Rhinolophus ferrumequinum: one gene and its partners. The protein of the gene in region 4 purifies or fractionates together with the protein of the main gene of each other region. This does not show direct contact. Links are inferred from orthologs where the notes say so. Each region holds a gene or a part of one and is shown on either strand. Other genes may lie near its edges. The genes, in order: CCDC8, DUSP16, OBSL1 and MAPK14.

Region 1 (7,881 bases), on a different chromosome or scaffold from region 4:
TTTTGGAACCTGGGATGCCAGATGACAAACCAGTGAACACATTAAAGTAATGCCCCTCAGGGGATATTACCTAACTTGAGCCCTGGCATCAGGGCACAGGATAAAGAGGGTGTCATTGCTGCTTCCTGCTGTATTTGTTGAGGACCTACTATGTGCTATCATTTAACCCTTTGGTATCTGGTTCACAGGTGTGGATAAATTATATCCTGTTTATCGTAGACAGGGACCTGATTTCCGGACGTTCAAGATGGAGGACAAATCTGGTGACTGTGCCAAGGTTACAAGTGTCATCTGGGAGAGAAGTCTTTCGGGATTTCTCACCAATCTTATTCCCCACCTCAAATCTGCCAGGCAACTGGGCAAATAATGGAGGCTTAAGAGCGTCGGGGTTGACCAATATCACCCCGACAAATTAAAAAAAAAAAGAGTGTGGCGGTTGGAATCTAAGGAACCTGAGTGAGTCAGAGCTCAGCTCTGCCACTTCCTAGCTGTATGGCCTTCTTTGGCTTCAGTTTTTCTCATCTGGAAAATGGGAATAACACTTGCATAGGAGAGGTTCTGAGGATTAAAAGAGAAAACACACAGGGCCAGGGACAAAGTGGGTGCTCAATAAAACAGAATAATAATCAGTATTATCACTTTCCCACCTTGTGGGCATATGTGATGGAAAACTGAGATGGATATGCATATACTGATATGAAAGACTTCAAGACATGCTATTAAGTGCAAAAAAAGCAAGTTTTATAGTAATAGATCTAGCATCATTCATTCATTCATCAAATATTTTGAGCACCTGTTAGGACTGTTCTAGATACTGAGAATTCAGTAGTGAACAAACCAGGTAACTATCTCTGCCTTTATGGGACTAATGTTCTAATAGGGTGAGACAATAAATAAATAAGAAAATACCAGGCAGTGGTACGCGCTGTGATGAAAACAATTTAGGATGATGTGAAAAACCCCCCATGGGGTAAATTCTAAAATTACACATACGCTAAAGTAAGCATTTTTTTCCCCCTGGAAAAGTACAGAGATATTTAACTGCGATCACTTTGGGGGAGAGGCTGGAGGCTTGGGGCTGGGGCTGGGTTGCTTTTCATTTTACACCTCTCTGTAACTCCAGCATTTTCTTAGCATGTGTGTGTGTGTCACTTTTAATATTACTATTGTTATTTTTAACGGCAACCAAGTGAAACTGGGTAGAGAGATTTGGGCCATATTTTGTTTTCTCCCCCTATTTTCTGATTTTTCATTTCTTTTAAATAAATATAAAAGTGGAAGCTATAATTATCCTTTTGTGTGTGTGGGGGGGGAGGGGGGTGGCTGGAGAAGGATCTTGCCTGCCAGAGACCTGGGCAAGTTAAAACACCCACAGTGAATTGCTCAGAGGTTGGCAATTTCTGTAAGAATGTTGAACATATGAGGTTTTCATTTCTAGGATAACCCTCCCTTCCTTCCAACCAAAGACAGAAACAGCCCAAATGTCTCAACTTCGAGGTCATTATTTTGACTTCTCAGATTTGGGATTTTCAGCTTTGGGCCTCTACGAAGCACATTCTAAGAGAAGGTGACTTGGGGCATCAGACTTAAGGAAGGGATAAGAAGCGGGAAAGAGGCGCTGCCCTGCCCCCACCCCTTCCCCCCCTCCCCGGCCCGCCCCACTCTACCCTCTCAGAGCCAACCCGCGCTTTGGAACGCGTCTCCTCGTTGCCATGGAGACCGCTGGGAGGCTGGGCGAGAAACGGAGCAAAAGGGAGGAGCTGGGTGGCGCGAGGCCCGGCTTGGGCAGAGGCCTCGGATGGGGCTGGCGAGGAGGAGCAGAAAATCCAGCAAAGCAAAGCCAACCGAGTGAGCCAACAATTGTGCAAAGGCCTCGCTAAGACCCTGACCTCCCTCCATTCCCCAAGCGTCTTCCTTCCTCTTTCCCTTCCCTTCCTTTAATCGCCCCCTTTCCTCTTTTTCTAAACATCTGCCTGGTTCCTTCAGGAGTTAAATAAAACCACATATCTTGAGTTAAATAAAATTACACGTATTCATTTTTGTTGTATCTCCTCGCTCGCGGGCGGTGAAAGAATTCACAAGTCAGATAGAAATATAGATTTATTAAAGTAAGAGGAGGGTCGCGTCAGCTGGAAACTACTGCAAACTACTGCATTGAGTCCTTGTTTGGTCTCAAGTTTTGTATTTACTAACCAGGCTGTAAATTGTTTCGGTCTGTAATTGGGGGTGGGGGAAGGTGCTGTAAAGTTGGTTATGGCAACCTTTCCATACGTTATGTAGATTTAAGTTGGAGCCAGAAGAGTGGATCCCATACAGATGAAAAACTTCCCAAGTCACAGGGCCTGCACTGGGCCGAAGTAAATAGAAACAAAAGAGAATCGTTAAGAGGCAAAGAAAAGAAAGCTTTCAAAACTTCTCAAGCTAAATTGCCCTTATTAATTTGAATTACACCGGAGGTCCAAATCTCAAAAATAGAAGATTTAGTGTCCCCTGTCTTAACAATTTTTATACTTTGTATTAAAGTCATTATTTTACAGGCTTCTTTACTTTTTTTTTTTGACTGTTGGAATTTTTCTTTTGACAGCTGTATTTCATTATAATTGGTTTCCTTTGTAATCCAATGGATGCAAATCTATGCTTTGAAACACTTTATGCTGGAAAGGGACCATGGCATGGTTAAGGATTCCTAAGCTATAGGGCCCTGGAGAGGGTTGGGGAGGGGGGAGACAGAATCACTTCTCTAAAAAACGTGCCATTTGAGCAGAGGGAGATTGCCAGAGAAGGTGGGAGCAGAGCATTCTGGGTGGAGGGAACAGCAAGTGCAAAGGCCCTGAGGTTGGGGGCAAACATTGTTGGAGGAACAGTGAAAAAGCAGCAGGTGTGGTTGGAGTGGAATAGAGAGAGGGACGTGGGGAGAACTGATAGGGCTTCGTGGGCTGAGGTGAGGACTTAGATTTTACTCCTAGGTAAGGATTTTAGAAAGAGTACAGATAGATCTGACTTACGTTTTTAAAAGATCCCTCCAGCTGCCAGTTGGGGATGGATTGCAGGCTGCAAAGGGAAAGCAGGCCGCCCAGTGAAGAGGTGTTTTTTGTGGATCCAGGCAAGCGATAAAGATCAGCTGTGTCTTCCGAGCCTGCCTGGATGGTTACTCCAGTGCCTAAGTTCAAATATCAGCCCCTCTACTTACAGCTGTGCAACTTCAGACCAGACTCAGTGTCCCCATTTGTAAGAAGATGATAGTGAAGGCATGCACCTTACCCTATAGCTTTTGAGCATTCATAACAACAGGCTATTCAGGGTACCTGGTTCCAAGGAAACCTTTTGTGCAAGTTAACAATTATTATTACTAATGCCATTGTTATTATTGTGCATATTGGTGCTGACATGGCTGCCTCAGTAGTACCTGGGGAGCTTTGCAAATCCTGGCCCCTGAATCCCAGGAAACCACTATGTCTGTGGCCGAGTTTGAGGCCCTTTGGTTTAATTTCATTTGTTTTAATTAACATTTTGGATTGCCAAAAAGCCATGCAATCCAAAAGGATATACAGTGAAAAGGACACATCTCTGCCACATGTTGGAGTCCCCAGTCCCCCTCCTCAGAAACAGCTACGGTTGGCAGAGCTTGTACATGTGCTGAGTACATGTATACACACACACACACACACACACACACACACACACACACACACACCAGGTCAGGCTGTTTCAGATTCAAATCCAGATTCAATCATTTCCTTGCTGTGTGACTTTTATTTTCTCAGCTACAAAATGGGAATGATTGTATTACCTGTCTCATAATGTTATGGTGAAGATTTCATGAGTTGATTCATAGAAAGCACTTACAGTGGTGCCTACGCACATAGGAAGTGCTCTATAAAAGTTAACTATCCTTTTTTCATAGCTGCTCAGTGTTTCACTGTAAGAATAGACCATAAAATTAAGTCAGTCCCTGCCGAACAATTAGGTTCATTCATTCACTTCACTCAAAAATATTTGTTGAGCACCTACTGTGTGCCAAGCCCCACTGGTACAGCTGGTGAATTAAGATCCTGGTACCACTTTTCCCACCCCTATTTATGGGTATATAGGGAGGAATTGCTGGTACCAGAAGTCACATAAATTTAGAATGGTACTATACGGTGTCAGTGGCTTTCCAAAGGACGGCCCCATTAGCACACCCACCTCTGGGCGTGGCTGGAACCCGCACATTTAGGATGGTAGGTTTGGGAATTGCTGCCTTATTCGGAGAAGGTGCTGACGTGGGCCTCGGCGCGCTTTCAGCTTGGAGGCGGTGGCCCCAGCCAGGCCCGGGGCGCGGCCACACCCCCGTGAGGGAGGGGAGTGAGGGCGACCCAAAAGGAGTGGACAGCCCCGCTGTCAGTCTTCTCGAGTCTGGGAGTGTAAAATGAGAAGGGGAAAGGTGGGCCTCACCCTGGGGGAGGACGAGAAGGAACTTCCCTCCCTGGAGCTCCACAGCAGCGCGCGCGCGGGCAGGGAGGCGGGAGGCGCGTCAAGGTCAGCCTGGACGGGGGTGGCAGCCTGCCGAGGGGCGGGAGACCCTCCGGAGGGGCTGGGCTGCTCCTCCTAGCGCCTCGGCCATATTGAATAGCCGCGGCTGAGCTGTCTTTGTCTGCGAAGTCCTCTCCCAAGTTCCAGGCGCGTCCCTCGTGCCTGGGGCAGGAAGAGCCCGGGTCAGCCCGTGCGCCCCAACTTGGAGCTGGGACACCACTTTTGGAGCTTGCTGTGGGCTTTGAGCCTCAGGACTGACCTCACCCCGGCTCACGTAAGCATCCTGGCAATTGATTTCCACCAGTCCTTAAGAGGGGACTCTGCCTTGATCCAGAGAGGACTTGTTGCAAGCAGAGAAATTGGGAGGTGTTGGCTCATCTTCGGCTGGGGAGGTGAGACTCTCCGGGCAGTGCTGCTGGGACCTCCCACCTCCACTTCGACCCCCAAGACTAGGGGCTTCGTGTAGTTTGGGCTTGTTGCTCCCACCCCAGATTTCACCCTGGAGATCTTAAAGACCCTCGAGAAAAGCCACGTGGGGGGCTGGTTCCCCTGGGGCTTCCTCCCGTCGCCCGACTGCCTGATCCTCTGGAGCGTCCCCGACGTCTGCAAAGATGTGGATTTGGACGTCCTCGTGGAAGCCTTGAAGCCTGTGGGAACCTTTAAGAAGATCGGCAAGGTGTTCCGCAGGGAGGAGGACTCCACGGTGGGGATGCTGCAGATTGGGGAGGACGTAGACTATTTGCTCATCCCCCGGGAGGTCAGGCTGGCTGGGGGCGTCTGGAGGGTCATCTCCAAGCCTGCCACCAAGGAGGCGGAATTTCGGGAGCGGCTGACCCAATTTTTGGAGGAAGAAGGCCGCACCCTGGAGGACGTGGCCCGCATCATTGAGAAGAGCACCCCTCACCCGCCCCAGCCCCCCAAAAAACCCAAGGAGCCCCGAGTGAGGAGGAGAGTCCAGCAGATGGTGACCCCTCCTCCCCGGCTGGTTGTGGGCACTTATGACAGCAGCAACGCCAGCGATAGCGAGTTCAGCGACTTCGAGACCTCCAGAGAGAAGAGTAACAAGGGCCACAAAGGCTCAGGGCGTGGCAGGAAGGTACGCAAAATGCCCGTAAGTTACCTGGGCAGCAAATTCCTGGGGAGCGACCTGGAGAGCGAGGATGACGAGGAACTGGTGGAGGCCTTTCTTCGCCGTGGGGAGAAGAAACCCAGTGCGCCGCCGGCCCGCCGCCGCGTGAACCTGCCGGTCCCCATGTTTGAGGACAACCCGGGGCCCCAGCCATCTAAGGCGGACAGGTGGCGAGAGTATGTTAGCCAGGTTTCCTGGGGGAAGCTGAAGCAGAGGGTGAAGGGTTGGACCCCGAGGTCCAGCCCAGGAGTAGGCGAGGCCCAGCAGGCCTCTACCAGGGTGGAGAGAGATGGGGTGCCAGGAAGTGCCAGCTGGGGGGATAATATGGGGAATGCAGGAGATGGGCCAGAGCCTGAGGCCCCTCCAAGACGATGGAGGCCCAAGATCAACTGGGCCTCATTTAGGAGGCACAGGACGGTGGAAGCAGCATCTGCAGTTCAGGGGACAGAGGCTGCAGGTAATCAGAGAGAAGAGGCTGCAGATGACCAGAGGGCAGAGGCCATAGCTGACCCGGGGGCAGAGGCTGCACATAATGAGAGGGCAGAGGCCCCGGCTGTCCAGGAAGCTGAAGCCTTAGCTGCCTCGGGGGCCACAGGAGCCACCCCAGGAGTTAGGGCCCGAAAACAGGTGAAGACAGTGAGGTTCCAGACCCCTGGGCGCTTCTCGTGGTTTCGCAAGCGCCGGAGAGCCTTTTGGCACACTCCCCGGGTGCCAACCCTGCCCAAGAGAGTCCCCAGGGCAGCCGAAGCCAGGAGCCTCAGGGTGCTGAGGGCCGAGGCCAGAGCAGAAGCAGAGCAGGGCGAACAAGAGGACCTGCTGTGAGGTGCTGGCAGGGAAGCCAGAGCACCCGCCGCCACCCACTAACTTATTGGCCACTCAGGACGCATCCCTCCCTCTCCTGCCCTTGGACGGAGATGATCTTTCTGCCTCCACACCTGAAATGGGAGGTCGAGTGAAGGCCAGGCAGTGCCCCTCACCTGTCTACCTAGCACCCCTTTTCATGTTAAAATTTTATCTGTCATGCATTGATTTTTAAAAGTCTTTCTAGTAACCCAAGGAATGTAAAGAAGGAAATCTGTACAATGGGGTTGTGTTAATTTCCTCAAAAGCAACTCCAGGTGCTCAGCTTGAAAAAGGGAGCGAGGGCAGGGAGAAATGCCTCTCTTCCCCTTTCTCATCTCCCTTTCTCCTGCACACTTCACATTGACTGCCTCCTTGAATTTACAAAGAGGGCACAAGCCAACATGCAAATAAAAATGTTTACAAACTTATTTCTTGGCTTTGGACTTGGCAGCGGAAGAATGCTCCAGGGTGATTCTGTCACGTCCTTGTGTCCCCTCCATGACCTGTGTTTATGTCAGTTTGCTTGCCATCCCCACACCCTTGGGTTCTGCCAGGTCCGAGGGTCCAGGGCCTGCAGTTTATACACTTCATACGTTTTACAAGGGACAAAAGAATCATCTGGAAAATGTGTCTAAATGCAGAGTCTGGGACCCTTCATGCCAGAGCTGTGAGTAGCACTGGCTGTGCCCCACCATCAGGGGCAGCTTGGCCACTGGACACAGTGAAAAATCATTGCAATAGGAACAGGCCAAAAGGGGGATTGTGGTGTAGTAATGTGGAGTGGGTTGTGACTGGTTCTTACAATCGGGGAGAAATCGGGTTGCTAAGGCCCTGTGGGAGCTGGAGAACATCTCCGCATTGTTTGTGTCCCCACCCCACCCCCACCAGTGACAAAACAGATAGCAAACGACCACACCCCAACCTCACTGGAGGCCGGAGAAAAGGGAATTGTGGAGGAGGGGCTCTGAAGGTCAGCTCTGTCCTGATTGGCTGCAACCTGGCCTGAGTTTCTTAGTTTTTTTTTCCCTTGGAACTTAAGAACGATCAGCCCTCTCCACCCTCCGTCTCCTGAAGTGGTCACTGCTGGTGAGGCTTGCTGTGATGCTAATAGCCCCTTTGAACTAGGTGTACCGTGTTTCCCCAAAAGTAAGACATAGCCAGACAATCAGCTCTAATGAATCTTTTGGAGCAAAAATTAACACATAAGACCCGGTATTATATATCATATGAGACCGGGTCTTATATAAGACTGGTCTTATGTTAATTTTTGCTTCAAAAGACTCATTAGAGCTGATTGTCTGGCTTGGTCTTATTTTTGGGGAAACACAGTAGTTCACAGCTCATATCTGGGCAAGAAAGAGTCCCCAGTGAAATTTGGAAAAAAGACAAGTTGTGGA
Region 2 (7,434 bases), on a different chromosome or scaffold from region 4:
TCCTCACCTTCAAGCAACGAAATGTGTTTCCCTTTCTCCAAATTCCACCCCAAATATAATCTGAGCATAACCCATGAGATAGTCTGGGTTGATAAGGTAGTCTAGTAGATTAAATATTCACCATATTTACTGTGAATTCTGAAACAATGTTAAACAGGAATATCTTCCAAACTAGTTGAAGACATAAAATGAATACACAGGAAACAGCATCTGAGTGTTATCAGATGCTAAATCAATGGTAATTGGTTCAGAAAAATGAGAAATCACTAAGTACAGAAGTAATGAGGGAAAGTTTCATGGAGGCAGGGTTTAGGATAGACCTTAAACACTGGGAAGAATTTGGATAGGCAGAGAAGAGAAATTTTGACATTGTAGAAAAGAGAAATACCATAACCAAAGACAAGAAAAGTAGATGAGGTTTTAATGGAAAGCCAAGGTGGTCTAGAGGAGGAGTGGCACAAAAATGTGCATAGCAAGAATTAGTGGGAAATGAGATCACATGGATAAGATGAATTCATTAACAAACTTAGCAAACATGATTCAGTGCTGATTAGCTGTCAAGCAATAGGGCTCTTGCACATAATAATAATAATAATAGCTTACGCCTATTACAGCTTCCAGTGTGCCAGGCATATATTAAGCCCTTTACATATAGTATCTCATTTAATTATCACTACAGACCTAGGAGGTATGCACTGTTGTATCTCTACTTTACAGATGAAAAAGATGAAGCCCAGAGAGGTTCAGGAACTTGCTCCGGGTCACATAGTTATTGAGTGGAAAAGCCTGGATGTGAACCAAGGGAGTCAGTTCAAATGTGGGTTCTGAGTACAATGCTAACCTGCCTCCACACATATTTATCTCTTTACATCTTCATAAAATTCCCATGATATAGGTATTTGTATCCCCATTTTGCAAATGGGGATGTAAGGCTCCCAGAATCAGTAAATTGTGCAAGGTTCTGCTGAGAACAAAGCTAGAATCTGAAAGCAGGTCCAGTAATTCCAAGTTCATTAAACTTCCCCTTAAAATACAGCTGCCTGGCATATGGATTTTCTAGAATGGGATCAAATTAGGGAAAACTTTAAGAGCCTAATAAGGGCAAGAAGCCTATACCATAGGAATGGGGAAGACCTTCCGGGTTTCGAACAGATGTGACTTGATTAGTGAAGGTAGGTCTAGGTCTGGCATCGGCCTGGCACAGGGAATCCAATCAGGGAAAGAGTGGACACAGCACCAGATGATATTTGAGGTGAGCATGAGGGTGGGAGGGAGGGGCGGGAACAATGACCAGTATTTGAAGGAAAATCTGATTGTTCTTGGGGACCGAATGGCTAAGGGTACTAAAAGGAGATTAAATCAAAGCAGACTTTGCTTCTCCTCCAAATGACTTAATGGACTAGTAAGGGACTCAAAGGTTATAAGAGCAGCTGGTTTGTGGCAAAAAAATGAAGGTTGCTTTTGGACATGTTGCAATCTGTTTGGCAGAACAATGACTGGCACATTCCAGAGGAAATGGGCAGCACACGGTCAGGGGTGTGGGATCGGAGCTCAGGTAGAGAGCAGAGGCTGTCAGTTCTATCTGACAAAGAAGCTCTGCAGGATCACTGAAGGGGCAGACTAGTCCCATCCCAGGGAAAATAATTTTCTCACTGTGAGAATGAGCCAGGAGTCATCAGAGAACAAAAATGCAGTGTAACAAAAGAAAGCAGGCCCAAGGGCAAGCCACAGGTCTGGACAAGTGGTTAGGGCCAAGGCAGAGATAAAAATTAAAGAGACAGAGCAGCAAGTGTGATATCACCCATATCAAAGGAGAAATGACCACTGAATAATTTCCTGTCCTGTTTCTGGTATTTTTGGATGTTCTATTGCAGAAGTCAAACCCAGCTTAACCGTTCAGACCCTACAGTCTGAACCCTACAGAATAATCAAGAATCTTGGTAGCAGGGAACACACACTCTACATCAGGATAGGGAGAGAACTGAAGTAATCAAAAAATACTTCTCCACTGAACTGTATATTTAAAAATTGTCGCAATCGTAAAACTCATGTATATTGTACCACAGTTAAAAAAAAAAAAAAAAAAAGGAAGACCTCTCCCCTGAAAATATAAGTGTCTATGAATCCCACAAAAATCTCCAAAAGCCCATCGAACTTAGCATCTCTTGGACTTACCCCTTTTGGTCCAAGATCTTGGTTTCCTTCCCAAGTTGGTGGCTGTGCTGCTGAGGTGATAAAGGTACTTGAGGAGCCGGGGATGCCAAAGCTACCTGGCTGGCATGTCCTTTCCAATCTGGAAAGAGAATGGGGTAGTCAATTGAGGCTAATGTGCAGCGGAAACTCCTCTTCTGGCCTTTCTGCTACCTCTGTCCTTTTTCCAGAACATTGAGAATGTGATCCATTGGTCATAGCCCCACCCTCTGTGACCTCTTCTGCCTGACCGAGTTAAGAATGAGACACAGAACAACTCAGCCAGTACCTGGGAGGGACTAACCTGGGGCAGGAACCTGGGAGTCCTGTGATTTCAGTTCTTGCTTATTGCTCTTCACAAACATCCTTTTAAGGTTCTAGGGTACTTCTAACTGGCTTGATGGAGATCACCTCCCAGTCTATATACAATTCCTTTCCTGCACAGTATATAATTTGTTCCTAGGACAGGGCTCCTCCATAAACCAGGGGAGTCTAAAGGGACTCCGACACTCAAAAGTAGCTGAATGGGGTTCTTCCTCATTTTACAAGTGAGGAAACGGGCCCAGGGTTGTTGAGTGACTTACCCAAGGGCATACATACACCTGGTTACTGCAGAACAAGGACACACAGGCTTTCTGATCCACTCTCTAAATCTCTTTTAGCTAGACAAAGAGATTCCAGCTGAAATATTTGGAATTCTATTTTTATTTAAGTTTTGCTTTTCCCGTGATTGGTCTCTTACTGTCTCTTTCTCAGAAGATGTTTAAAATGCCTGAAAATGCCAGCTTAGGTATCCAGAAGAGAATGGTAGCAGCACTGATGGAGGGAGGAAGCTCGCTGGTTACCCACAAAACCATCACAGACTGCCTGTTATGCTGTGGCTAAAACTTGGATCCATGCCCTCCCTCAGCCAATGTACAGCAGAGCCTAGTAAGGGGGCCCCGTGAACTAGGGCTCTCTAGTCCTTTCTGTCATTGCCCTATGTTGACCTTGATCTCTGCCTCTGAAATCCTTGATTACCAATGTCAATAGTCAGCTAGTTGACTTGGGAGGGCCCCTCCATGGCTATGGCAAGAGAGAAGAACGACAGAACAGCTCACCGTAAACATGGGTATCAGGCAAACTTCAGGAAAAACTGGTTGCTCAAGCTTGCCACCTCAAGAGAAACAGTTTTGTGTAAAGCTTGACATGGTGCGAAATAGATGTACGTAAGTTTGTTCCATTGCCACACTCATCTGGGGAGGTATCTGTGGGTCACTTCAGCACATGGGAAGATCCGCCGTCCCCAAGATCATTTAAGCTGTAAAGTCAACCAGATTAAAATGGATTGTCTGTGTTCATCAAGCCTATGTATCTTTTCTATGGTCAGGTCCTGAAAATGTAGGAATTCGGGTTTAGCGCTTTCGAGTCCTAGTCATGCACTTACAAAATCATAGGCCTAGATGGTACTTGGAAGTCATCTAATCCAGCCCCTAATATTACAGATGAGGAAACAGAAGTTTCCCGTTATTATACTTCTAGTACACCGCTGACGAGTACACTCATTTCGTTACAACCAAAATTACACTGTTGGCTCCATGGAGAGGATGGTTAACCTAAAACCCATGGCATTTTTCATACAAACCACTGCTCAGCTGCATTTTCCCCATCCCAGGTTTATACCATTCATTTCCTAAAATTTTGTTTAGGGGTTTACATTTTCCCTTTCATTCCATTTTGCTAGTTTTAACTTCATATTCCAGTCTATAATTTGAATTGTGTTTGTCTTAAGCTTTTTAAGTGTGCTGGGGAAGGGGAAGATCGTAGCTAATGTGCACTTTGCAGTGTGCTTGCTAGCGCCTATTTAATAGCTCACCTGTTCTAAATAAAACTATAAAGAGCATTTAATTTGGAATTCCCTGGCCTAGTTTTTCAGATCCTTAAGGGAGGTGGCTAACTTTTCCGCCTTGGTATATATGCAGGAGCTCTAGAATGGGCTGAAGAATATTCTCAGAGCTTGTCTCATCCGCGGAACTTGGTGCCTGGGGTAATGTGGCGAAAGGCCACCCTCTAAATTGCAGAATCGAGAGGTTTTTTTATGTCCATTTTGATGTACCATTTAATTGTTTATTTTCCTTTAGCCATGAGAGCTAGAGGACTCAAGAGATTTAAGAGAGGGGAGGAAAGAAAGGAAGGATGTCCTAATCTCTTTTGTACTCAAAAAGATACGTGCTGTATGCAAAAGGAGAACCAACTTGAGTGAATTATTTGTGATGACTTTATATATTGTAAATAGCCAGAAACCTAGGCGTTACCTCTGACTTCTTCCTCTCCTTCATCCCCCACATCTAATAATAAGAATGGCTAACATTTATCAGGCACTTACTATGTGCCAGATACTGTGCTAAGATACTTGATAAGCCTGACTAATTTAATCCTCACAAGAACTATTATGATTTTACAGATGAGAAGACTGGCACTTTTAAGAAATTAAATTCCTTGCTTGCACTCTTATATCTAGGAATGGTGGGGCCAGATTCACACCCAGGTTATTGTGACTCCAGAGCCCAAAAGCTGACCCACCATAAGTTTAGTCCCCCGGTTCTCGGGGAAAGCCGCCAGACCATGATGTAGGTCTGATCCTTACAAATCATAGAAGAAAGGAAGGAAGGGAGGAAGGGTTGGTTGGAAGGTTGGTTGAGTGAAAGAATCTTTAATTGTAGTGCAGTTCTGAGAAAGTTCAGCAAAGCTGATGAAACATCTTGGAGCTGAAGTTGCTCATCCGAGCAGTCCCACGTTTCCCAGAGGTGGGCCTGCCTTAGTATCCTTCCCACACTTCGTCATGAAGCAGACTGGGGGAGGCATGACCGTAGCAAGGAGTAGTGACGGATTTCAGAGCACAGAGACTGGGATTATCAGCTGTAATCCTTTCTGAGAGATACATTTTCATTGCTGCCACATTCTGCTCCATTATCTCTTCAAACAAATCTGCTGAGTTTTTTCTTCAACAGATGTCTCTACTTACTGCCCTAGTTCAAGCCTCTGTCATTGCTCACCTAGGCAATTCCAATAATGCTTTTACTTACTTCCCTACTTCCAGTCTCCATACCCTTAAAATGATTTCCTGCAACACCACCAGGGTGATCTTTCTAATATGTCAATCCAACTATGTCATAACCCAGTGTAAGAAGATAGGTCAGTGGAGACTTCTTTTTGTCAATCTTAGAATCTGTATGATGATCCTCGAGCATATCAATGACAAGAATCACACCAGCTTTCATTGATTAGGTTAATTTCAAAATTGCCTTATATTCTTTTTGGTGAGGTCATCATGATTTACCATATGTCATTCATCTGCTTAAAAACCCTTCAAATGTCTGTAAGATGAAACCCAAACTTTTGCTCATGGTACACCAGCACCCCCAGGACCCGGCCACTCCCTACTTCTCCAACATCATCCGTGCCACTCCGGGTATTTAATACTCCAGTGATATCTCAGTAATGAATTATTTGTAGGTCCTGCTGTGCTATATCATATCTCCATGCCTTTGTGTATACTCTTCCCTCTACCTGGAATGCTATTTTCTCTTCTCCTCCCCCTTATGTGCCTATTTGAATCCCATTCTAGGTTGCCTCAGCTGCCACCTCCTTGGGGAAGCTTTCCATGATTCATACACACCCCAATTCAAAGATCATTTAGTCTAGTCTCTAGCCCAATTCAGAAAGTCTATCGAAGGCACCCAGGCGGGAGGTCATCAAAGGAAAAGCGCATGACTTCACCAGACAACTGGTGTTAGGCTGTGCTCATGGTCACATAAACCAGTCAAAGCCATTTCTTATTGTTTTTCACGTGGAAATCTATCAGTTCCTGTTTACCCAGTTTTTCTGTGGATGGTGGTGAAAATAGCAACCATCAGAAGATTCCAGGTGAATGGAGAGTTAGAAGTTGGGAGCCTAACTAAGAAATTCCCTGGGCAGGTCCTATAGAGGCAATGCTACCTTTGAACTTTCAGATCTTGGGGGTTGGGGCAGGGAGCAGGATGGTGGTGTTCAGATGAGGAGGAGGGACAGAGCTTACCAACAGGCCATTGGTCATTTCCTTCTGGTTGTAGCTCCTGAGCTTTATGGATCTTCTTTTCTGAATCCCTGACCTGTGACTCACAGATGTTGCAAGAAAACTTCAGAATGCCTGTGGACTTCAAGAAGCGGGAGGCACGGTCAGAGGGAGGATTGAGCCTATGGGAAACCACATAAAGGTTAGACTTTTGTGACAGTGACTGTAGTTACTATGATTCCACATGTTTCCTTAGTGCTTTTTGATAAATCTGTATTTTTCCAAGACTGAAAAGTTGCATCTCTAACTAACTACATGGATGAGAGATATGTGGTAAGGAGAAAAAGATAGTGAACAAAGACTGATTCTGGAACCCTGTACTTACTGGGAGTGTGGGATCAGAAGCATGATGAACATGAGCTTTTTTTATCCATATTCTAGCACAGGCCTCGTGTTTCCAATCTTCAATAGGCACTGCCTGTTTTTGTGCATTTTAGAGGGTTCAGTATGGTAAACACTGGTGCATTCTCAAGTAGTTTTCAGCCAAAAGTTTAATTTGGGGAAGGAATACATATGAACAAATCAGAAAAAAAATAGATATGATCAATGTTGTTTACGCTACAATATTAGAAATGAAAACAATAATAAAAACCATACTGGGTATTAGGAATCACGAAATTATCTTACCAGCCATTGTTACCCTGTACAAACAGAGCATACAATTATATTTTTTATTGACAGTTGAGTATAGACCATCTGGAAATATAAACATGAGAACAGAATTATGAAAGGAAATTAGTTCCGTTGGATTTTTTAAATTTGAATTTTATTTTTTAAAGACTTTATTTTTCTAGAGTGGTTTTAAATTTACAATAAAATTGAAAGGGAGGTACAGAGGTTTCCCATATGTCCCCACCCCCACATACACACAGCCTCCCCCATGATGAACATTACTCACTAGAATGGTACTTTTTTTTCTTTTCACCAAGGATGAACCTACATTAAACATCATAATCACCTAATGTCTATACTTTACCTGAGAGTCCACTCTTGGTACTGTACTTTCTATGAGTTTGGACATATATTCATCATTATAATATCATTAGGAGTATTTTCACTGTCTGATAAAAATCTAAAGCCATTAGATTTTTTAAATGTTTTCTAAAGCTACACTAATTAAAACATTTGGTATAGTACTAAAATAGATAGAT
Region 3 (7,729 bases), on a different chromosome or scaffold from region 4:
AGCAACCGTTGGTCCTCACGGAACCAGGCAGTGGGAATGCGGGAGTTGGGTACTTTGCACTCTAGCACGGCAATCCCATGTTCCCGGCCCTCCACATCCTGCAGAGGCCTCGAGAAGCGGAGGCGGGGCTCTGTGGAGAGGGGAGAGACCAGAGAAGGCTCTGGAGAGGGCCAGACTAGGAAGACTCCTCCTAGCATCAACTGCCTACACCCACATTAGCTCAGGCCGTTTGCTTTTCTCCTGGCGCACGAAGACATTGTGGAATCATAGAAAAACAAAAACCACCAGAAAGGAACATCAGATGGTCTAAATTCTCATCTGACCCTGACACTCACTAGCCACATCACCTCCAGCAAGGCCATTTTAGTGATCTTGGGCCTCAGTTTCCATACCTGTAAAATGGGGAAAGGGGTAGAAAGGCCTTGGACCACATCAGTGATTTTCAAAATGCTCCCTGTGGTCCCTCAGAGGCACTGCACAAATTCTGCAAGGTTCTGAGTTGCATTTTCTCTTTAAAGTACTTTAAGCATTTATTTTTTGAAAAAAAAAAAAAAAAAAAAAAAAAAAGCATGATGCTGGAAACGACCAGTAGGTTCACCTGGGCTGCTGAGAAGTGCGTTTGTTGTGCAGCTCCGGGAAGGTCTGCCTTGCCACTGGGCTTTTTTCCCCTCTTGATGGAGTTAAGAGTTCAGCCTGCCTGGCCAGTGTATGCATGTCACCATACCCATGAGGCCACCACCATGGCACAGGTGCCACATGCTTGAATGCTTGCCAGGCAGGGCTCAGGAGAGCTGCCAACTTTTTTTCCTCTGCGGGAAAACGTTGGGCAATAACTACGAAAGATATAATCCTGCAGGTTGTGATGAATTCCTATTATGGAGAGCTTTATCCTCCAGGATGAGTTTGGGGTGCTCTCCCCTGTTTTCTGTTTATGAGCATTTATTAGATATTGTTGAGGTGACTCAACTTTGAAATATAAATTTCTTCTCCTTCACCTTCTTCTTGCAAAGCTGGGGAGAGCAGCCTAATGGAAGAATAGTCAAAATTCACAGAGCAGTTTTTATCCCTCAAATTTACCTTTACTATGAATCAAGAGTTTCTCAATGTGACTACTTGCAGCCAGGCCTTCCCACAGACCAGGTGATGAACGCAGCCTTCACTTAAAATGTGTATATTCAATAAAACAGCCTCCTTGTTCTCATTGATTGGCTTTCTAAGTACACGTTATAAATCTGGACTTAGAAATTTACTGCCATAAAATGATCCTTTTCTCTTTCTTATATATTGGGGGCACAGATGGGATTTCTATTGGGGGAGGGGAAGTAAAATAACAAAGGTTGAAAACCACTGGACTAGAAGAGTTCTAGGCTCTTCTCGGTTTGTCCATCAATCACTTCTTAAAGCCTTTAATCAAAGGGAGGTTTCCACCATGAGCCTCAGAATCACTTGGGGAGTTTGCTAAGAAGCTCCTGGGTACCGTGGAGACTTACTAAATCCGAATCCCTGGGGGCGGGAGGCAGGCAGGAAATGGGATTTTGGTACTCCGCTTCCCCTCCCCAAAACGTCTTTAGGGCAGCACTGGGCACCGAAGGGGGCTGGAGTTAGGAGGGCTTGGGAGGAGGTGCCGCCGTACCTTTGACGTGCAGCTGCACAGCGCTGAGCGTCTGGCCCGCCGAGTTGCGCGCGGCGCACACGTAGAGCCCGCGGTCCTTGGCCTGGCAGTAGAGCACCTTAAGCACGAAGCCGCCGTCGCGGTCGCGGTACATCAGACGGCGGCGGTCGGGGAGCAGAGGGCGGCCCTCCCAGTGCCATTCGATCTCAGGCTCCGGCTTGCCCATCACGTAGCAGCGGAACTTGGCGTGCTTGCCCTCGTTCACCCAAAAGGTCTTGGGCGCGCACTTGACCGGCTCCACCACAGGCTTGGGGGCCTCATCGGGGTCCGGGGGCGGGCTCTCGGGAGGCTGCTGCACCTGGAGCAGCGCGCCCGCCTGCGCGTGGCCGTGGGCATTGCGGGCGTGGCACACGTAGACGCCAGAGTCGGGCAGCCGCGCCGCCAGGATGCGTAGAGCCAGGCTCGCGCCCCTGCCGTCCTCGGCGCGGCCCGGCTCCAGCGCGAAGTGGCTGCTGTCCCACACTTCGTCCAGCGCCATCCCATCCTTCTCCCAGTACAGCGTGGGCACGGGGAGGCCCCCCACCTGGCACGTCAGCATCACCTCCGCTCCCCGCAACACCCACTGCGACCGGGGCCCCGAGAGGAACACCGGGGCGCCCTCCCCAGTCCCGGGCGGCGGCAGCGGGCGCTCGGCGGGCTGGGGCTCCGGCTCGGGGGCCGGCGGCTCCAGCACGGTGACGGCGGCCGCAGCGTAGGCCTCCCCCGCCGCGTTGCGGGCGCGGCACACGTAGACCCCCGCGTCGGTGGGCAGCGCGACGCTCAGCAGCAGGCAGTGCTCGGCGCCGTCGGCCGGGAAGCTGAGGCGCTCCGAGGCCGCCAGCTGCTGCCCGCCCTTCTCCCACACGACAATGGGCGGTGGTTCCCCCAGGACGACGCACTTGAGCTCAGCTTCCGCGCCACTTACCACCCGCACGGGCCGCGGGAAGCGCAGGAAGCACGGGGGGCTCCCCTGATCGCCCGATCCCGCCTTCATCGCGGCGGCCGCAAACGACCCGCAGCTGCGCCGGGGAAGGGCGGGCGGCGGGCGCGCGGAGGCCTGGAGCCCGGGAGGCGGGGCGCGTCTGGGGACCCGGCCTGGGGATCCGGGGAGCTCTCCCTCTGGCTGCCCGCTCCCGGGTCGCCTCCTTACCGTCGACCCGGAGGGGCAGCTCTGCGGCGGCGGCGGCGATTCCTGGGCCCGGAGCCCAGAGCTCAGGGGGCAGTCCTTCCTGTTTGCCTTTACAGCGAGGGGCCCCGCGGCCTCCTCTGCCCGCGGCCTGGCTTCCTGCTCCTGAAAGCCTCTCTTCCCAGCCCCCTCCCACAGCCTGGGCCTCTTTCCCCTCCTCCCTACCACCTCCAGCCGCCAGGTCCCCAACCTCCCGCCAGGCTAGGGCCTGAGTGGCAGAGGCGCCTGCAGCTGCCAATCCCAAAAATATTCTCTGATGACACAGCTGGAAGACAAGAGCCCAGACTGGCTCCTCCAGGCTAAGTTTAGAGCAGGCGGGACCACCTGCCCCCCGCACTAACCCCAGTTCTAGCTCCAGCCTCAGCCCTTCCCCCCATGACTGGCCCAGCAGCTGTTTGTCTGAAAGGGGCCCCAGAAGGTCTGAGGGGCTGGTGTGTTTTGTCACCTTAGCAAATAACACTTTTAAGAGCTGGCAGGCCACAGCTCCCAGCCTCCTGTTCCACCTGATGTCACTTCTGTGCTGGGTGCTGGGATGTGACTGTGTGTGTGTGTGTGTGTGTGTGTGTGTGTGTGTGTAGGGGGAAGGGGTTGTATGTGAGAGGTCACTTGGGGTGAAAAACCCTCACCAGCCCCCTCCCCCACATTCCTGGCGGGAGTGGGAGATAAGGCTCAGGGTCACAGACATCTGCGTCAGAGATAGGAGGCCTCAATGCCACGGCAGGGGCAACTTGGACTGCAGGGTGTGGGAAGGCCTGGGGAAGACTGGGATGAGAAGGGTAGAAGAAGGCAGGTGGTGGGATGGGGAAGGGAGAGTGGGGGAGGTCCCGGGCAGACCCTGACAGAGGGGCACAGGGCAGGCTGTGGGTTCGCCATTGTCAGGGGCAGGTGAGCTATGTTGCCCCGGCTGCCACTGCTACTCCTCTTGCTGGTGGCCCCACAGCGGGGGCATAGCTGCCATGGGCCGGAGGTGGACCGGGAACTTGTCTTGGCAAAAGTGAGGGCCCTGTTCCTGGATGCCTTGGGGTCCCCAGCAGTGACTCGTGAAAGTAGAGATCTTGGAGTCAGGCGTTTGCCCCGAAGACATGCTGTGGGGGGCTCCATGCGCAGGGGCTCTGAGCCCGAGGAGGAGGATGTCTCCCAGGCCATCCTTTTCCCGGCCACAGGTAATGAGGATGGGGAACTGGTGACTTTGAGAAGCAGTGTGGGACAGCATGGGCTTGGAAGGCAGGCAGATCTGGGTTTGAATCCCAGACCTGCTATTCAACTGGCTTTGCAACAATGGGCCAATGACTGAACCTACCTGAGCCGCTGTTTCCTCATCTATAAAATGGGCAATAATGTCTATCGCTCAGGATTTCGGGAGATGCTGCACTTAGAGTGCATGGCTCATATGAGGTAGCTGGGAGATATTCTCCTGGGAGGCTAAGGGTCTCTGGAGTCAGCGATATCTGGGCGTGGTCTCTTCCTGCCACTTTCCTCCTATTTCTGCCCCTGCTCCCTGTTCTGGTCCTTTCTTTAGCCCCAAGTAGCTGAGACTTGAGAAATAACAGAGATGCAGGAGAGAGATTTGTTGGGAAACTTTTCTGGGAAACTAGTCTACCTTCTCTTGAGTTCCTTTCTCACCTCCCCATGTTCCACTGACTCAATGAGAAAAGGCCTCCTCTGGCTGGACTTTCTTGTAATCTGGCCCACCTTTCTCTTAGAGAGGACCCCTGCCTCCCTGTGCTTCAGTCCCCCTGCTGCACAGTAAGTAAGTGTGGCTTTGGGATCAGGTGGAATCCCGGCATGGACACTTCGTAGTTCAATGTCACTTCACCTTTCTAACCCTCAGTTTCCTTATCTACAAAATGGGTCGCTCGTTGTGAAGTTATCCATGAGATAATCCATGTAGCAGTATAGCCCCAATTGCCAGACCTTCACCTGGTGCTGATCCATGATTGTTTAGTGTAGTTTGTATACCTGTCAGGGTAAGGATGCCAACTGCACTTTCTTAGAAAGCACTGTCCTTTATTCTCAGCTATGTCTTTTCTCCTCCTCCTTTTTGGTGTTAACCTATCTTATTAAAGTGGAGTTATTTAAAAATTTTGTAATATACTATTACTGACATGTAAAAAGATATGAAGAGTAATCCTACAAATGCCTGCCTACGTGCCATTCAAGGTGCCCTTTCACACTTTAAGATGAACAAAAAATTTAAGTATAACTAACGATTCCAAGTGTTGGTGAAGATAGAGTGTCAGGGCTTCTTACACATTGCTGATGGGTATATTAATTGGTAAAACCACTCGAGAGAAGTTGGCAATGTCTTGTACTTTTTAAGTCCTTTTGTGATGAAATAACAAAAGAGGAGCCTCTGTCAGTTCTCCCAAGACTGGGGGGAGTCCTGAGTCTGGCAGAGCACTCAGTGGAGTTTTGGCAGGCTCGTGAATGGCAGCTGCGTCTCTCCAGTCACGGCTGCCCTCTCCCTTCCCTCTGTCTCCTGCAGGTGCCAGCTGTGAGGACCAGCCAGCGGCGGGAGAGCTGGCCCAGGAGGCTGAGGAGGGCCTCTTCACATACATGTTCCGGCCATCCCATCACACACGCAGTCGCCAGGTGACTTCCGCCCAGCTATGGTTTCACATGGGACTGGACAGGCAGGGCACAGCAGCCTCCAATAGCTCTGGGCCCCTGCTAGACCTTCTGGCTCTGTCATCTGGGGGTCCCATAGCGGTGCCTGTGTCATTGGGCCAGGCACCTCCTAGCTGGGCTGTGCTAAACCTGGCTGCCTCTGCCCTCCCTCTGCTGACCCAACCTGTCCTGGTACTACTGCTGCGCTGTCCTCTCTGTTCCTGCTCAGCCAAGCCTGAGACCACACCCTTCCTGGTGGCCCACACACGGGCTAAGCCGCCTAGCAGAAGGGAACGAGCCCGACGCTCGGCTCCCCCGCTGCCCGGGCCTTGGTCTCCCGCCGCGCTGCGCCTGCTGCAGAGGCCTCCAGAGGAGCCCGCTGCCCATGCCCACTGCCACCGGGCGGCCCTCAACATCTCCTTCCAGGAGCTGGGCTGGGAACAGTGGATCGTGCACCCTCCCAGTTTCATCTTCCACTATTGTCACGGTGGCTGTGGGCCACCCACCCAACCAGACGGGCCTCTCCCGCTCCCTGGGGTTCCCCCTACCCCTGTCCAGCTCCTTTCTCTGGTGCCAGGGGCCCAGCCCTGCTGTGCTGCTCTCCCGGGAACCATGAGGTCCCTCCGTGTCCGCACCACCTCGGATGGAGGCTACTCTTTCAAGTATGAGACGGTGCCCAACCTTCTCACGCAGCACTGTGCTTGCATCTAAGGGAGTCCTGCTGGTGGCCGAGCCCCTACCAGCACATGCTGGGAGGAAGAACAGAATTTGGAAAATAGATGTTTCCCATTTCCCCCCTTCTTCCACTTGTCTGTCTGAGGGCTCCCCTCCCCCTCTTACCCCTGTCCCATAAGCAGTGTGACAATAAACAACCCAGTGCATATGACTTGGCATGCGTCCTCGGCTTCTCTGATATGGCGGTGGTGGGTGGTGGAGGGGAGGACCTGGCCCCAGGAGCATGGGACTGCGGAATCTTTGGGCACTCAGCCTCACTTGACCTCAGAGATCTGGGGTTTGAGATATAGCTGGAGGGGGCAGCCGGATGGCTCAACTGGTTAGAGCGCGAGCTCTGAACAACAGAGTTGCTGGTTCGATTCCCACATGGGCTGGTGGGCTGCGCCCTCCACAACTAGATTGAAGGACAACGACTTGGAGCTGGTGGGCCCTGGAGAAACACGCTGTTCCCCAATATTCCCCAATAAAATTAAAAGCAAAAGAAGACAAAAACAAACTGGACTCACTATTTTAAAAAATAAAAAATAAATAAAAGAGCTGGAATTGGATGCATATCTGGTGGAAAGCTACAATGCTTGGTGACGCAAAGGTGCTGCTAGCTCCTGACAGCCACTCTGGAGACAGAACTGGCCCTCATGCCAGCTGGACCTGATATGTCAATCAGGGTGCCTGCCCTGCTACACCTAAAGGCAACTGCTGTACTTATAGTGCCTACACAGAAGCCCCTCCCCTGCCATTCTATGCCTTAGCTGATGGATACCTAGCTCAAGGTCAGGTGATTCTTAGACCGGCCAGAGATCATGGCTTAGGGTCCCACTGAGACAGATGTTCAGAGCTGATCAGATCTTGGGTGTCTCAGGAACTTGGGTGGCATGTAAAGGAGAGATGGTGTGAGTTGGCAGTATCTGAAAGTTGACAACTGCAGAGATGAGACAGAAGAACGAAGACCTGAGGATTTTAATTTGCTGAGGGCCTGGGACTCCCTCAAACCTATCATGTAGCCCTTCCTGAAGCCTGGTTGTGCTGCAATCTGGGTTCTTGAAGTCTTTGGCTCCTTTGATGTGCCCTGTGTGTCTTTAGATAACCCCTTGACTCAGTCCTTAACGTTGGAAGCATGGAAAGGCAGAGCCTACTGGCGAAAAAAGTGTGCTCTTGGGTGAATCTGTGTCCACACTTTGTGTACACGCGGAGTGCACGGCAGGGTGCAAGGAACCTTTTCCCGTTGGGTCTCCTATCAGTCCATTCTGCCTGCCTTGATTGGCCATTGGGAGCCCCGCTTCCTGAGCCTTCCTTCCTCCTTTTTTCACTCTCCTCCTTCTCCCTCAGTCGTGTGATCCTGCTGTCCTGCCCCAGGTCCTGGCTCTCAGGTAGGTGTGACGCGGAAGGTTGGGGATGTTTAGGTCCCTCAGATGGAAATTCAAGAGCGTTTTCTGATACTGACTGCACCACTGCAGTGTGTATTTCTGCTAACAGAGTGACTCATCAAAGACTCCCTCCTACTAACCCAGCTCATGGGGTGGGCAGGTAAGCACCTCCCCAGGAAGGAGATG
Region 4 (8,276 bases):
CCCAACCTAGAGGAATGAGGAAGGTCTCCTGGAAGAGACGATTTGAGCTCTCCTCTAAACTAGGAGCAGGGAGAATAGGTATATTTGAGGAAGAGGATAGGATAGATTACAGAGGCAACAAGATAAGGCATGTAATTCAATAGATCTGAGTAGAGTCAATGTTAAACCCCAAAAAGTAGGTTAAGGCCTATTCTTAGAGGGTCTTGAATGCTGGGTTCAACCTGGACTTTTTAGCCATTTAAAGTGTTTGAGCAGATGTAGTAATATGGACAGAGACACGCTTTGGGAAGAAGTTGTCTCATTGGTATGGTCTAGAGCTGTGCTGTCCAGTATGGTAACCACTGGCTACTTGTGGCTATTTAAATTTAATTAACTAAAATAAAACCTTCAGTTCCTCAGTCACACTAGCTACATTACAAGTGTTCAACAGCCACAGGTGGCAGGGGCCACCCGACAGGACAGCACAGACATAAAACATTGCCATCATCACATTAAGTTCTATTAAACAGTGCTTGGAGATAGAAGAAGCGGAGGTAAGAAGACCTATTGGAGACCATCACCTGTACAGTGGTCTTGGGGAGAGGTACTCAGTCACAACTCATGGGGCGGTAGTGAGAATGGCTAGGAGGGGCAGGTGGAAAGCTGTCTTTACGGGGCTCCTCACAGGCCTGGCTTATGGCAGCAAGGGAAAATACATGATTTCCTTATAGTCTTCTCTGGAATTCCTCCAGCTCCATTATGTCTTTCTCGATTTCATAGAAAACCTAGTGGTTTGTTTTTTCATGCACTTAGCAGGACCCTTCCCCACAAGGTACGATGACCAGAAGCTCCTACTGACAAGTGGCAGATGTATTTGGTGGGGAGAAGGCGATGCATTTCAGAAAAAAGTCAAACCACATTGATGGGATAATGACTTTTTAGCGGAGAAAACACAAGAGGGAGTCTCTCTGACTGACTCGTGAGGCATTAGTGCGAGGAGACCTCTGTGCGCAGTGTGATCAACAACAGGCTAAACTCTACTCATAATCTTGAAGATAAATGTCCACTTAGAAAAAAATGCTCTGATGCTTTCTGCCATCGGACAAAATATTTAGGTGGGTGGACCGTGGGTCTGAATTACTTAAGGTTTCATTTTCTAATGCGATAAATGTGACATCATTTTGGGGGTATCTGGATTCACTACTAATAGAAATTAGTTTGATTTCTGTAGCTCACACTCCATCCCCACACAAATAGCATCAGCATCATCCGGGAACTAAATTAGAAATGCAAATTCTCAGGCCCCACCTAGAAAGTCCTAATTAATTAGAAACTTTGAGGATGGGCCAGCAGTCTGGTTTAAGAAGCCCTCCTGGTGATTCTGATACACAATAAAGTAGGAGAACCATTATAAATGTAGCCAATTATTTTTACTTAGCTTTTCAATGCTAAATTTGGAGGCACTGTCAAAAGACAGGCATTTTTGAACTAGCTTCTTCATACCCCAAACTACCCCTATCTATCCAGCCATCCATTGATTCGTTTACATAATGTGTTGAAAGTATTTTAAAAGTCAAGAATAAAAAATGTAAATGCAACCCAGTTTTCTGACTATTGACCCAATAGATGTGAAATCCTGAACCTCAGTTTAGTTGCAAGAATCTTTCCCCTGGTATCGTCATCTTTCATACATTCTCTATAATCATCGGAAGGTAAAATTCACTTCCAAAATTTCAAAATAAGCATTGGAATCCCATCAGAAACAGTTCGTTGCCTGTTACCATCTACGTTTTTCTGGGGAGTGTATTTGGAATATAGAAGAGGCACAAGCAGAGCACTGCTTTTAGTATACTTCAGTCACTCTGTTTAGTGGCTGGGGCTGGATAACAAGGTGACAGCCCTCAAGGAGCTGACCATTAGACACATAAACAACTACTTCATTGCGACGTGATGAGAGTATTACAAGTAGAGTGTGTTGGACAGAACTCATTATTTGGGTGGGCATGTTGGAGAGGGCTTCACCGGTGTCACTGATACATAAACAGGATTTGATAAGAGAAAGGGGCCAAGTAGGGGGAGGGTGAAAGTCGGGGTTCAGAGGGAACAAAACGAACAAAAGCAGTGAGGTCTGAAAGTATGAGGCGTGTCTGGGCAATCGAGCCTCAGGAGCTGGATGGGGTAGTCCGGTGGGGCTCGGGCAGCCGGCCGCGGTCCAGTTCTGGGGCTTCTGACAACTCGGACCAACGAGTCTGAAACGATTCAGCTTGCAAAACACACACAACTGTATCTTGCCATTGCCATTTCACGCGTCCTTTCAAAAAGTAGAGACAGTACCTCTGAGAGAGAAGCTCCCAGGGACGATCTTCATTCTTTCATTCCACAAATATTGCCTGAGCACCCGCGACGTGCCTGGCCCTGTCCGTGACGGACGCAGCCCCCCGCCCGAGGACTTGGAAATGTAACCAGGGGCTGGTCCCTCGCACCCGGCCGCCTCGCCGCTCCCAACCTGCAGCCCTGGCACCCGGGCATCCCCGGGCAGTGGCTCACCTGGTTCCTCGGCGGGGGCGGGAGTGCGGGAGCCGGAGCCCCACGCAGCTCCGGCTCGGCTGGCGGCGCTGCAGACGCGGACGCCGGCGGTTCCCGAGCCGTTGCGGCCGAATCCGCTGGCGTTCCGGCGGGCGGGGGACAAGAGTGGGGGCGAGGAAGGGGAGCATGGGCAGCGGGGGTGGGGAGCTGGAAGAGGGGTACCTGAGTTGAGCTCCCGGTATTTGGGCCGTGGAAGCTCCTAACCTGTGCCACCCAGGCCTCCACTGGCGTCCAGGTTTGACTACTTTTGATTGAGAGCCGACCTAATGCCACGCCTCGCGCGCAGCATTTCACATACAGTAATTCACTGAAGTCTCCCCACAACCATATCAGGTCAGAAGAGGCGTGAGGGAACTGGAAGCTAGAGGGTCACCCAGTTCTCCAACCCTAACACTTGGTCCCACAAGCGTGGCTCCTCCCACTGACACTCTCATGCCCAGGTCTCCTGCTCCGCTCTCTCTCCCACTGTTTCTCACTACAGCCTTCTTTTCCTGATCCGCCCACGTGCAGTTTTACACTTACAGGATTGCTGTATTAATGTCTAACATATTATTCACTTTACCTATTCCATTTTGTAAATTGTCTCATCCCTTTATAGGACAGGGTTTTTGTTTGTTTGTTTGTTTGTTTTTTAATCTCTTTCATTAACTGCTGAATCATCAGTGCCTAAAACAGTGTGGTAGATATAGTAAGTGTTCATGAAGTTTGCGTTGAATGATTGAACGATTGCCCCGCAGTTAATTGTAAGCTCCATGTAGGCAGCAATTGTGTCTATTTTTTAATCACTCTTCCATTAGAAGTGCCTGGCATCAATACATATTTATTGCATAAGTGACTGAATGTATTACTCACTTCATCTTTACCTTTTTGGTCACTCTTACCTCATCATCCCAATTTGTTAGATAAACTTATGAATTTCTTAGGGTTCCTACTTCCAAATTTCCTCCCTTGGATCCATTCACTCATCTTCTTGATTCCCATTCCACCCCTCTTTTTTTTTCACAGTCACAGTTTTGCTCTCACTTTCTCCTTCAACCTCCATTACTTCTTTGAAAGCTCCCTAACCTGTGGTCAGCTTGGAATATTTTCAAGCAGCATGTCTTCGTAGGAAAGAGAATCCAGGCTAAGCCACATTGAATCCAAAAAAGCTTTACATAAATCACCCTTGAATCTGGTTTGGGTTTTGTTTTTTTTTATGTCCTTGAGGAGAACTGAGGATCCTGCACCACCTCCTAAATTGTTCATCATTTGTTCAACAAATATTTATGGGGTATCTTTTATGTTCCAGGCACTGTGTTAGATGCTGGGACAAGACAGGCAAAGTCTGAGCACTCCAAAGGATGCACAACACAAAAGAGAATAGTCACGGGAAGTGAAGAACATTGTCCTGGCTTGGACCTAGTTATTTCTAAGCAAAATAACTATGAGAATAAGATAGGGTCCAACTCTTCTGCTTATTGTAACAAGCTTCAGCATATGGATAGGGTTATACTAACTTGCCCAATCACATTTATTATCTTGGTCAGCTTGATAAATGACCCTACTAGGTGGGAAGGTAAGACAGGAATTCTCTTTTGCAGAACTAAGGTCTAAGAAAGGCCCACTGACTTGCCTAAGAAGACACTGTCAGAAGACTACTCTGCCCTTTTCTTACTCTGAGAGGCATGAATTAAATCCTCAAAATCTTCTTCAGTGGAAGCTCTTCATGTCAGGAGTCAATTTCAAACCCTCAACGTAGTGGTTTTAAAAATGCTTTTCTAAGGGAAAAGCATCAGAGACTTCCCTGAATCAGAAATGCCTGAGGCATATTGTAAAATTGCACATTCTTGGTGCCCATCACAGACTAATCCAATCAGACTCCTTGTGTGTCCTGGGAATCTGCATTTTTAAACTCCCAATGTGATTCTTTTGCACATAAAAGTTTGAGAACTACTAGGAGAGTTTGGGTGCAAAATCTCAGCCTTAATGAAGGGCTAATATTTGCTTTTGGGACAGATTTCATCAAAATTCTGAAGAGTAAGCCATATGTCCTTGAGCAGATGGGAATGTTACGGCTTTTTGGCCAGAATCTCTCTCTCTCTCTCTTTTTAAATGCAGTTATTTCTTGGAAATTTGGGATTCCGCTGAGCAGGTGCTCTACTGCTGGTAACTAACCACTGTTCAAAGATCTTTTGGCTCTTTTCCCCGACACCCTATCTGTCACTGTCGCTTTTCACCACGAAGCCAGGCAGTTGCTCCGCCGACCACAGTGGGGCGCACGCAGCATGTGTTGCCTGCTTATTCTCTCTTTCCCCGGTCCGCCTTCGCGCCCTTAATAAGAACATACCCCGAGAGTTCCTGCCTCTGGTCTCCAGCTGTTGCTCTCTTCTCGCGAGAATTGCTACTCCCGTCCTCTCCCCTCCTCAAGCCCCTCCCGTGGGTAGGTTCCATATTGGGTAAAATCTCGGCTCGCGTAGAGTCTCGGGAGCTGTTCTCGCGAGAGTACGGCGGGAGGCTCCTGTTCGCTGGCTCTGGAACGGCGACCACTGAAACCTCAGCGGGCACAGCTGCTGTAGCCCTAGTCCCGTGGCGTAGCCCAGAGTCGGCCTGGTCCGGAGAGGGTGCAGGGAGAGCGTGGCCGGCGCAGCCCTGAGCGCCGGAGCGCGCCCCTGCTCTTAGCAGGGCTTGCCCTCGTCGTGCAGGCGCGTCCAGCCGCTGCAGCTGACAGGGGCAGCGCGCGCGGGAGTCGGCGGGGTCGCGGCAGCCGCACCTGCGCGTGCGGCCAGTGCGGGATCCCAGCCCCACCCGGCGGGCAACGAGGGCCAGGGAGCGGGTGCGGGTGCAGGCGGGGCCCGCGGAGGGCCACCTCCTCGCCCCGCGGCCGCTGCTGGAAGATGTCTCAGGAAAGGCCCACGTTTTACCGGCAGGAACTGAACAAGACTATCTGGGAGGTGCCTGAGCGTTATCAGAACCTGTCCCCGGTGGGCTCCGGCGCCTATGGCTCCGTGTGGTGAGTGTCACTGGGCTTGGGGCTGTGGTGGCTGGCTGGCCCTGCATGCCCCAGAGCCAGGCCTGCCCCCACGGCTCAGCGATGCACCAAGCGGCAGGAATTTTCCTTGGGGGAGGGCATCGCTGCCCCTTCAACCCCTGTCCAGCACTCCCTGTGCCCCTTGCACCCCTCACCCTGCACACACCTAGGTAGGTGGTCAGCTGTGTGCAGGACGCAGGTCCACGGTGGGCGGTGGGTCGTGCTGGAGCTCAGCCCTGGCTCGCACCCTGCACATTCCTTTCTTGGGGGTTGCTGCTCCGGGGGAGGCTTTTTCTGGGGGTCTCCCTGCTGGCGTCGAGCGGGAGGACCCTCTCCGGAGGTGCGCCCATCATGGGCTCCGGAGCCTGCCCTCTGAGCAGACAAACCCGGGGAGCTGCCCCGAGAAGCAGAAGAGCAAAGCCCGACCGGGAGACGGCGGTAAACCGAACAAAACTGGCGGCGAAGGGCGTTCTGTCCTGGTTTCTTTGCAAACCTCTGTCGAAATCCCATTTTGAGAAGCGTTCTTTTTGAATTCGCACTTCAATTAGCAGCGACCCATAGAGCTTAAAATACCGACTTTATCTCGGTGAGCACTGTGCCAACTCGAGTGGTGTGTTTCCGATTCGGTTGAAAGCGTATTTCCTTTTCGCAGAGTGGGGGGTGGGTGGTAGTGCTGGCAAGAACGCTGCAGCTTGAGAAACTGGCGGCCTCGCTGATTAGTCACATACCACTGCTCATTTAAGTATTGTTTGACAAAACTATTTTCTCATTTGGTGCAAGTAAGATTCAGATCCGTTGGACGCCCTCAAGATCAAAAAGTTAGGAACAATGGTGGGAGGTATTGTAAATGTTTTTTTAATTGCGATAATTCTTGTGAATAGTACTGTGTTTTTAAAGTCCCTGAGAGAGTTTGCAGGGAACTTATCTACATTTATAGCCTGAGGACACAGTGGTTTTCGTAAGGATAGGGAATATATAAAAAAGGAAGGAAGAGACACTTTTCAGCTTTAATTCGCACTGTGAGTGTGTTTTGCATTAAATTCATACCTTAAAATTTCCGGACCTGAAGTAATTACACTAATTTCTCTAACTTCCAAGGTTTTTTCACTGTATTTTAGATTTAATGTAATTTGAGAGCTCCTGATCTGAAACTGATTCATGTAAATTCATACCCATACATCATTGGAAAGGGGTCTATATACAATTACTTTTTGTTTTGGAACAAATTCCAGGCTTTTGAACATATTAGTCTTTAAATAGAATTCCCCTGTTTCTTAAAGTCACACTCACATCATGAATTTCCTGTTCAGTAGAATCTTCTGGGTAATTGAGATTGTGCAATTGTGTCTCACAGTAGATCATATTGCATTTTCTAGTTCAAGCTGCTTGAATTATGTTGCTAAGGCACGATGCTTGACATCTTTTCCACATTTTTATAGTACAGCAGTCTACATTTTAAGGGAATTTGCAGCATTTTACTATGTGTGTGTATGTGTGTGTGTGTTATTGATTTGCTAATTTTCAAAGATGTATTTGGTCATTGCTCCTTTCATAGCTCATTAGTTTATTTTTAATTCTTGAATTGATACATTAATTTTTGTAGTACCAAGGTTTTGTTTCTAGTGTTTAAATTTGAATGGAATGAGTGATACAGCAGAGAATAGCTCAACTGTGGTGAGTTGAGCAAACTTGAAAGGAACTATTTGCAAGGTTTCCCTACTGTTGGTGTGGGTAGCTCTGCACTGGAATTGAAGATGCAGATTTACAGTGGAGTGCCATTCAAGTGAACTCCACATTTCTTTAGTGCTAGTATACTTTCTGGCTTATAGAAGCCAGGAATTTCTGACACTTGGAATAATTTTGTTACACAGGTTTTTAAAAATAGTTGATACATTACACTGTATAAAATTCAGAGGGTATAAAAGGATATTCAGTGAAAAGTCTTTTCTTCTGTTCTCCAGCCATGCTATTCCTTTCCTCAGAGACAGCCACTGTTAAGTTTGTTTTGTGTCTTTCCAAGAGGCAGAGTTGTTTTTTAGTAGTATTTCTGTAAAAGGGATTTAAGGTGTAACCTATAACATTGGTGGAAGAAAATACAACTGATGTTTTGTGACAGTTGACTAAACCAATATAGTGGATTTTTTGATTGAAAATATCAGAATTTAGATTTACAAGTAAGTGTTATAATCAGGCATTCTTTCAATTAGCAACTTTTCAGGTGTGTCAGAAAACACTTTTTTTGAACTTCTCTTAGAATCCATTTTGGAGCCTGTGTTATTTTTCACAACCTTCATCCTTGGAGCGCAGATTTGATTTTAGCGAATAACAAAGAAAATCAAATTGAATCCAGATAATTGAGAGAATTTGGACTAAAGTGTGGTGAAAAAGATTAAGCAGTCAGCTTGGTGATACTGTTTTATGTCAAATAGGAGTCTCAACTATAAAGTATGACGCAGAATTTCTTGTGTGACTTGTAGAACTGGATCTGAAGTCTGTTCCCAAAAAGAATCTCGGGAAGTATTTTAAGACATGCAACATAACTGAAATATGTGTCAGTTTTTTAATTTGATTGCTCTGAAGTGCAATGCACTTCGAAGTGTAACTTAAAATTATTTTTAATTAAGGCTATTTTCATCATTTTAAAAATTTTTGCTAAGTTTATAGTAAAAAAGCAAATAGTATGTAGCCTTTGTGATAACCAATC

Evidence for each region.
Region 1: the proteins of MAPK14 (region 4) and CCDC8 purify together in Homo sapiens (affinity purification with mass spectrometry; 3 studies listed by BioGRID and IntAct, counting the BioPlex papers as one, with this or other methods). This does not show direct contact. The link is inferred for Rhinolophus ferrumequinum from reciprocal best matches to the Homo sapiens genes MAPK14 and CCDC8.
Region 2: the proteins of MAPK14 (region 4) and DUSP16 purify together in Homo sapiens (affinity purification with mass spectrometry; 7 studies listed by BioGRID and IntAct, counting the BioPlex papers as one, with this or other methods). This does not show direct contact. The link is inferred for Rhinolophus ferrumequinum from reciprocal best matches to the Homo sapiens genes MAPK14 and DUSP16.
Region 3: the proteins of MAPK14 (region 4) and OBSL1 purify together in Homo sapiens (affinity purification with mass spectrometry; 6 studies listed by BioGRID and IntAct, counting the BioPlex papers as one, with this or other methods). This does not show direct contact. The link is inferred for Rhinolophus ferrumequinum from reciprocal best matches to the Homo sapiens genes MAPK14 and OBSL1.

What each region holds. Positions count from the first base shown.
Region 1 is NC_046298.1:42,670,853-42,678,733, reverse strand, and holds CCDC8 (coiled-coil domain-containing protein 8), read left to right. Parts: upstream 1-4,405; 5' UTR 4,406-5,221; coding exon 5,222-6,463; 3' UTR 6,464-6,912; downstream 6,913-7,881. UniProt on the Homo sapiens protein: Core component of the 3M complex, a complex required to regulate microtubule dynamics and genome integrity. It is unclear how the 3M complex regulates microtubules, it could act by controlling the level of a microtubule stabilizer.
Region 2 is NC_046293.1:27,377,376-27,384,809, forward strand, and holds the start of DUSP16 (dual specificity protein phosphatase 16), read right to left. Parts: upstream 3,481-7,434; 5' UTR 2,176-3,480; intron 1-2,175. UniProt on the Homo sapiens protein: Dual specificity protein phosphatase involved in the inactivation of MAP kinases. Dephosphorylates MAPK10 bound to ARRB2.
Region 3 is NC_046291.1:15,954,327-15,962,055, reverse strand, and holds the start of OBSL1 (obscurin-like protein 1), read right to left. Parts: upstream 3,182-7,729; 5' UTR 2,646-3,181; coding exon 1,634-2,645; intron 131-1,633; coding exon 1-130. Other genes in the region: INHA (inhibin alpha chain), read left to right, coding at 3,730-4,000, 5,323-6,155. UniProt on the Homo sapiens protein: Core component of the 3M complex, a complex required to regulate microtubule dynamics and genome integrity. It is unclear how the 3M complex regulates microtubules, it could act by controlling the level of a microtubule stabilizer.
Region 4 is NC_046286.1:5,988,348-5,996,623, forward strand, and holds the start of MAPK14 (mitogen-activated protein kinase 14), read left to right. Parts: upstream 1-5,089; 5' UTR 5,090-5,438; coding exon 5,439-5,554; intron 5,555-8,276. UniProt on the Homo sapiens protein: Serine/threonine kinase which acts as an essential component of the MAP kinase signal transduction pathway.